Danio rerio: one gene and its partner. The protein of the gene in region 2 interacts with the protein of the main gene of each other region in a biochemical or structural test. Links are inferred from orthologs where the notes say so. Each region holds a gene or a part of one and is shown on either strand. Other genes may lie near its edges. The genes, in order: xaf1 and rnf114.

Region 1 (3,934 bases), on a different chromosome or scaffold from region 2:
TGCATGAAAACATCAGAAGCTCATTAGACAGATTGGAGCATGGAAAAGCTGTTTTGTTAATCAAGTAGTTTCAAATCCTAACTTCGACACTAGCATTTTCACAAATTTCACTCTGAATTTGAATGACTTTGAAACACAAAATATTTTGTGAAGAACACCCTAGAAACCTTTTAAAAATATTCTGAATGTGCGCAAAATATGATAATTTATTGTAATAACTGGTTGCCATGTTGAATTAAATCAAAATGAGTGGTGGAATTAATTTATTGTGACCTTGATTAAATAAAATTAACAAATCAATAACAGGCCCATAGGCAGCCTGGTGAAAGGTGGGGTTCTTTTTTCTTAAAAATACCTTTTTGCAGTTATTTGCCTCATTTTTTATTCAATTGGGAAGTTTAAATAGGTTGCATTTTAGTGACATTTTAAGCACTTTTTTTGCTGGATTAGCTGGTTGGATGGTCATCATAACAACACTTTTTGATGTGCCAAAAACATTTTCTAAACATTTAGAATGAAGAAATATGAGAACAATACTGATTTTTTAAATACAAATGTATTGCATCATATATCATTAGAAAAAAACTAGGAATCTGTTAAAGTTTTAAATTAAAAACAAGACTATTTCATTTAAATATCATTAATTTAAATAACAAACTGGCCAGCACATTCAATTTTCCTCAGTCACACTGAAGCGACAGCCAACAGAGGATTATGCTTCGTGTTAAAGCTTTCTTCTATGGGTTATATCACAATTTCTTATGGCATAGCAGTCAAATGGGACAAATGAGCTCATGTATGGGAGAACTTCTGGACCTTTGTTGGTAAGGAGTGCGTCTTTCAAACCACCCAAACCCCCCCCCCTGCCAACAGGCCTGAATAAGTCAATAATAATAATTAGTGGTCATTGTTAACAAAACCAGTGAATACATTTTTAGTCCAAATTTTGGATCTTTTTAATGTATTTTTTACTGTGACAATGATTATAATGTGTAGCATTTTACATGATGAATTATTTAAAATGTAGCAATACATATGAAAAAGGAAACTATTACAGTATATAACAGATAACATTAATCCACAGGCCCAAAAGACAATGCAATTTAGGATATTTATATTTCATTTTTGAAAAACTGCATTTTTTAGACAGTTGACAGTGTGAGGCTAAGTAAGATAGATCTTTTTAAATAAATTTATGAATGAAGTCAGAGATCTGTATGATTCAAATCTTTTGTTCAACACATTAGCGAACCAGACACAAACTAGTTTTGTATGATTACATGCGTTTGCGTACAATTTGTCGTACATTCTCCAGTTCTGTTGAAATTTATCTGAAAATATGCAAGAGGTCCCTCTTAAATCACATATTCTTTGTTCATCAAAAGTCTCAAGGGATGGAAGGACATTAAGGTGAGTAAATGAGGGCTGAAGTGGGCGAACTTTAACCTTAACGATCAACGTAAACCACCTGAGAATGTTTACGTCATTAGTAATGGTGGAAAAATCCTTAAACCTCACTTAAAATGTAAGCGATTCAGTAAATAAACAAAACAAATCACAGTTTTATTTTATACAATTTGAAATGAACAAATTATGTCGAATATTACGTTACAGTCAGAACTGGCTCTATAAGAAGATAACGTTACTTGATTTCATCTCGCCATAGTTTTAAACACCGTAAATATATCCTTTATAATTGAGTAAATAATAAAAATGTTTTTGTTTTCGTTTTGCTGTTGTTAGTGTAACTTAACCAGACAGGAACATGACGTCGTGAACATGTAAGTGATCTTTTAACACGGCGATATTTATGTTAACGTTATATAAATAGACGTCTTACAGAACCAAACAAAAATGCTGTAAAACACTCACCAGTGAGTACATAAAACAAGCTCTTCTTCTGTGTCCATACTTAAACTAGAAAGTGAGACGACTTGGGACTTTCACTTATCCAGAACAGAAAGCGGAACCGAAACTTACCAGGTGACGTAAACATCTCTGATTTATAAACATATCTTGTTATGTGTTGTGATAAAGAAATGCAGACACTTCACTTGACATTTTTAACATGCACTATGTCTCATCTAGTATAAATGATACAAAGGTCCTGCCCATGAGGTATTTGGTCCACAGTAACCAGGTAGCATAAATCCTTTGACGGCTCTTCATCACCATGGTTACAATAATGCAACTAAATATCTGTACACACCACTGATCTGTATTAGAGAAATGTCAGTGTGTATATCAGCAGCACACACACACACACACACACACACACACACACACGGTTTGGGTTTATTTTTGCCTTTAAAACTGATTAATTCTTCACAGCATAGATTTAGGATAGATTGAGATGCTGTAAACATTCCCTGGATAATTTTAGGCACATTTTTAATGAAAGCATCACACAGATTGTTGGCTGCACGTCCATAAATAGAAAAAAGGAGACAAATGTAATTAGTTCCAGTTTATTATAACACTTGCCTTTAACAAAAATTACCCATCAAATTAAAGTATATATCAAATAGCTACTTAAAGGTAGAATAAAATATTCAAATATTAAAGTCTGCATTAAATCAAAATGTACACTGTTAACAAATTAACCCTTGAAAGAAATCCACTGGAAAAAACAAAAAACAAAAACATTTTGATATCTTTAATGAGCCTGCCATTTGTCAATTACTTCGCTCTAAAATTACCCAACTATGACGCTTTCTGCTACTGAGAAACCCGGAAATGTGAAAAGGGTCTATAACCACAATTGTTACTTATCATTATTCTTTGTTTTTGTTATAATTAAACAGTCAGACAAATATGTGTTAAAAAATTACATTTTCCACTAACTGTTTACTTTTCGCATGTCATGATTTTCCCAAGTACGATGCGATCCTGGATCAACATCTGTGTTGATCCTGGAACATCATTTTTGTTCAAAATTGTGATCCATACCTATTTCCTACCCCTAAACCCAAACATAACAGTAAATTATTCCCAAAATCAGAAAATAATAGTTGGATGACAATTACGCAGAAGTGCATAAAACAAACTGTAAGCCTAAACTTAACTGTAAACGAACCCCTAATTCTGATTGGCTGATTGGAATGTTGTTCCAGGATCCACATAGATGTTTATCCAGGAACACGTCCTACTTGGTGAAATCAGGTTGGCGGTTTACTTTCATGCAAGCCATACAGTAACCAGCGATATTTATGTGATTATACAGTAGATATTAGTAAATCTGAACATTCCATTGCAATATAGCCTACCACTAAATTAAGTTCTGTAAATGTAATGTGTGTCTCTGTACATTTGTGAAGTGTGTATCAGTCAGTTATTTTAATGCATTTTTGGCAAAATGTTGATTCCGTTGTGTGACTGTGCTACCTTGCTACTATGGATGGATCCATGCTTTCATGTTGGTTTTGCAAAATTCTGACCCTGAATGTCGCACATGTCAAGGTTTGGCATGATTTGTGTTCAGAGGGGCTCATCTGCTTGAGGGCTGACCTTGGTTGTGACAAGTGAGCATTTGAGTTCCTTTTGCCTTTCTATCAGTAGCCTAATCTTGACCTCTGACATCAACTAGACATTTTTACTCACACAATTGAAGCTTATTGGAAATTTTCTCCTTTTTACTTTTGTATGGGGGGATGTGTATATAGATGAGTGGTAGAGCTGTGGTGAGCATCGAATGAAAAATCGATTTCACATTGATTCAGAGAAGGGCTGCACACAATACTAGGACAATATGCGATATTGTTGAGTGTTGCAATCATGATATACATTGCAATAATGATATATTTACTTGTCATTTATTTTCTCAAACCTGTTTGAGTTTCTTTCTTCTGTTGTACACGAGATACTTTGAAAAAAATGCTGAAAATCTGTAACCATTGATTTCTGTAGTATTTGTTTTTTTTCTACTATGGAAGTT
Region 2 (3,934 bases):
AAAAAAAATCACTCATCAGAATATATGAACTGGACATTGCTGAAGTGTCCCCAGCTTATGCATCATTCACCACCACCACCACTACTACTACTACCATAACGATGACGATGACTAGTACTACTACTATAACGAAGAGTACTATGAGTACTATTTACACACCCTGCCTTGCAGAATACAATAATTTTAATAATTTCAACAAAATAGGATGGATCATAGTGAATGCTAGTTTTGAGTACTACTCAGTGGCATAGCGCAAAATGTGGGGGCCCCCCTGCAGGGATCACTAATGGGGCCCACTGATGGGGGGGAAATCACAAACTGAGGGGACACGGAGAGTCGTGGAGCAACGACGCGAGGAAGCGATCATAAATTGAGGAGCGGGAAAGGGGGGCGGGGTGGAAAGACAACGCGGGGAAGCCTTCACAAACTGAGGAGCCATCACAAACTAAGGAGCGGGAAAGGGGGGCGGGGTGGAGCGACGACGCGGGGTAGCCTTCACAAACAAGCAGCGAGAGCGTCAAAGTAGCCGGAAGTCCTTCAATTTCAATGAGAACCGGTGGCGAGGAGCAGCGCGTCGAGTCTTCTCCGGTGTGGGCATCGAGGAGGACTTGAAATCAAGTCAACTTTATGGTAATATGCTATGATGTGGTTCGGCGGCAAGCAATCAGAATGAAGTAGTCCACCGTTTGAGAGGAGTTGAGAGAACACAGACCTGGGAACTTTGGTTCCGACCACAGTTGTTCCCAGGGGTTTGATTATTGTGGTTGCCGGATTTTCAATTATTAAAAATCGCAACAAGGCGGGGCCCTTAATCACGCGGGGCCCCCCCGCGGAGCGTGCCCTGCTGGCCCGTCCGCTACACCACTGGTACTACTCCACATGAGCTAGATATTTACATATAAGACAAAATAATAACTGACTAAATCTATCCTGTTGAAATGTTTACACACCCCTGAATCAACTGTATGAATGTTTGTGATGGTTTTTAATGAGTCATTTGATTGTCCTGAAGAGTTCAACCAGCTGCTGTAGTTTAGAAAAGGCCTTCAGCTCCTGCAAATTCTTCAGTTTACTGCGTCTTCTTTATATTTTTACAGCCCTACAACAGTGACTGTGTGATTGTGATGCCCATGTTTACTGACGAACTCAAGCAAAACATTTACCGAAAGTGAAAATGTTTCCTGACACTCAGCACATTCACATTAAGAGCAGGGGGTGTAAACTTTTACACAAACTAAAGTATACATTTTCAATTATCACTGTGCTTCAGCAGCTAATACTAATACTAAATAAGTACAATTTACCTCAATTGTTCATTAAAAATCATTATATTGCCTTTTTGAGTAACTGATATATAAATAAAAATGAATTAAAAATGTCTAATGTTTTGTGGATTCCACTTTTCTTTACTGCTCTATTAATAATTAATATTCCAAACAGATTGAGTAACTTAACTTTTTTAAAAATACACGTTATTAATCTAAAGTGAAATACATTTTAAAAACCGCCTTCCCTACACTGCCTACAGCACCTTAACCAAATACAAATACTCTGTAAATGCTATTATTTTGCACTTTTAACTGATGTTTGCCAGGAATGCTTGTAATTGAAAGGCCACATCTGATCTGACAAGACAGGCGCTGGGTGTTGTTTTCCGGTTCTAATTACGTGTACACTACAACTCCCACAATCCCACACTGCAAAGTTTTGTACACAAGAAGCAAAACTGAAAGTAACCAGTTTCTGTCTTATAAAAAAAATCGCACAACAACAGCACTTACTGAACAGTGTCCAACACAATCACATTAAGATTAAGGCGGAGGTCACGAAGGTTGTGAATCGCTTTGAGGTGATGAGGGGATTAACATTAAACTACTCAACATGTCAACCGAGAAGTTGCTGCTAGCAGACATGAGCTCTCCAGAATACTCACGTATGTCCGCACTGCGTGGTCATGGGCCGGACGAATATCTCCAAACACACGGGACACACGAAGTCGTCGTCTTCAGCATCGTTTACGTCGGTTTGCGGGTCTATTTTGAGCATGGCCATTTCTGCTGCGCTGTGTTCCGTGTTCTTGAACTCCAGTGAGATTCACTTTTGTGAGGGGAGGAGCAACAACTCAGCTGATCTCCTGATGCACATGAACGAGAAACAACATTACAGCTCTTATTAGACGTACGACAAATAAAAATAGCCGTTTGCTAACAAATAAATGCAACATATAGTAGGCTACATCTGTTGTGGCTGTGTTGTCTTTTACGTGCGTAGTTATAAGCGAGATCTCGCTAGTGCTCTCCGATGCATAAACGAGTCATTTGAACCGGCTCTTTTAAATGACCGACCGAATGAATGAATGTGAAAATGACTCGATTGGAGGTTGAATCAGACTGTAAAATAAGAACGTAGAAGTTTTTTTGACGTTACTTTTTTTATTATTGATGGGCAATGCAAAATCTAGTCACAGTATAAAGAAAAAAAAAATGAAAACTTTAAATAAAAATGTTTTAAAAGAAATGCATAAGGATATTTACATCATCATAAATTAAAAGAAAATAGTATATGATTTACAAATGTCAAAAAAGTTTCTAAGCCTACCCTAAACTATATATTTAATTACATATATATTTATATTTAATATATATATATATATATATATATATATATATATATATATATATATATATATATATATATATATATATAATTACATTACACAAAGGGGGAAGTCTTTCCAAAGCAAATTAGAATAATTGCTTTCATTTATTACCAGAATTAATGAAAGTAGAACATTTTTAGGAGTGAAACTTGAATACGGGCGACGTTTTAGAAAAGTAATCTAAAAAGTATACTTCGATTCATTAAAATAAATAAACATTCAAATAGAAAATAAAATATACTTATATGTGACAGTTATATATCTCGCAAATCTTAATTAACTTTTACATAGCTTTTTTTTTATCCCAGAATAGTAAATAAATGCCTGTAAAATCTAAAAACAACATCTGACCTCGCAATTCTTGCATTTGTCTTGTTAGAAACGTAGATCAAAATATTAGCATTTAACATACAATTTCACAATTGAGAATAATCTTAAAAATGCAATTCTTAGTTATATGTTGCAATTTTTACTTAAAAAATTATTATTTCACATGTTGTGTATTATTTAATATTATTCTCAAAAAATTTGTTGGTAGAAATATAAAAATCCAGACATTCATAAACAATGGAACAATTCACATTTAAAATAGAATTCATAGAACTGATCCTGTGTACACTATTTAGATTTTTTTTAGTAAAGCATGTACAATCAAAGGTATTTTTTTAAACAGAGCCTTAAAGCCTAGAGGATATTTTTTAGAATGATTGATTTGAACATTTATGTTAGTATTAATACATTATCTAAATTCATGCAAATTGATGAAAATTGTTCATTCTGTTTAGATCATTCAGAGTCTTTTGAATGTCAGCATTAAAAGAAGTTTTGGGATGACTTATCTCTGTATGTATCGGGTTTTAGATGGAATTTAACATCATGTGCTAATTTATTTTGACTGAAACAAACTATCTGTGGAATTTATAATGAATATTTTGATTTTATTTGGTAAATTTCATATCCGTAGAAGGAATAATACTAAATCTTAAAGGTATTCATTATAGATTTTAATTTTTAAATATACTCGCTACAGTGTATTGATAGCAAGAAATGTCAAAATACGATGATAGTTGCAAAGGAGTTGAAGCTAATTGAATAGAAAACTTGCTGTCTATTGTAAATAATGTCTTACCTATAGCTGCTGATATTGTAAAAGTTTTTATATTGAGGTTACGTGTTTTTATTCATTCTTGAATATTTAAATAGATTTTTAGTTAATTTATTTTCTTTTATGTTTTAGTTAAGTCTGTATTTATCTGGATATATTTGCTTTTTGCT

The links.
Region 1: the proteins of rnf114 (region 2) and xaf1 form a complex in vitro, tested with the Homo sapiens proteins (2 studies listed by BioGRID). The link is inferred for Danio rerio from reciprocal best matches to the Homo sapiens genes RNF114 and XAF1.

The regions. Positions count from the first base shown.
Region 1 is NC_133190.1:31,663,378-31,667,311, forward strand, and holds the start of xaf1 (XIAP-associated factor 1), read right to left. Parts: upstream 2,162-3,934; 5' UTR 1,911-2,161; coding exon 1,873-1,910; intron 1,782-1,872; exon of another isoform or gene 1,744-1,781; intron 1,411-1,743; exon of another isoform or gene 1,283-1,410; intron 1-1,282. UniProt on the Homo sapiens protein: Seems to function as a negative regulator of members of the IAP (inhibitor of apoptosis protein) family. Inhibits anti-caspase activity of BIRC4. Induces cleavage and inactivation of BIRC4 independent of caspase activation.
Region 2 is NC_133198.1:3,522,503-3,526,436, forward strand, and holds the start of rnf114 (E3 ubiquitin-protein ligase RNF114), read right to left. Parts: upstream 2,562-3,934; 5' UTR 2,053-2,561; coding exon 1,934-2,052; intron 1-1,933. UniProt on the Homo sapiens protein: E3 ubiquitin-protein ligase that promotes the ubiquitination of various substrates. In turn, participates in the regulation of many biological processes including cell cycle, apoptosis, osteoclastogenesis as well as innate or adaptive immunity.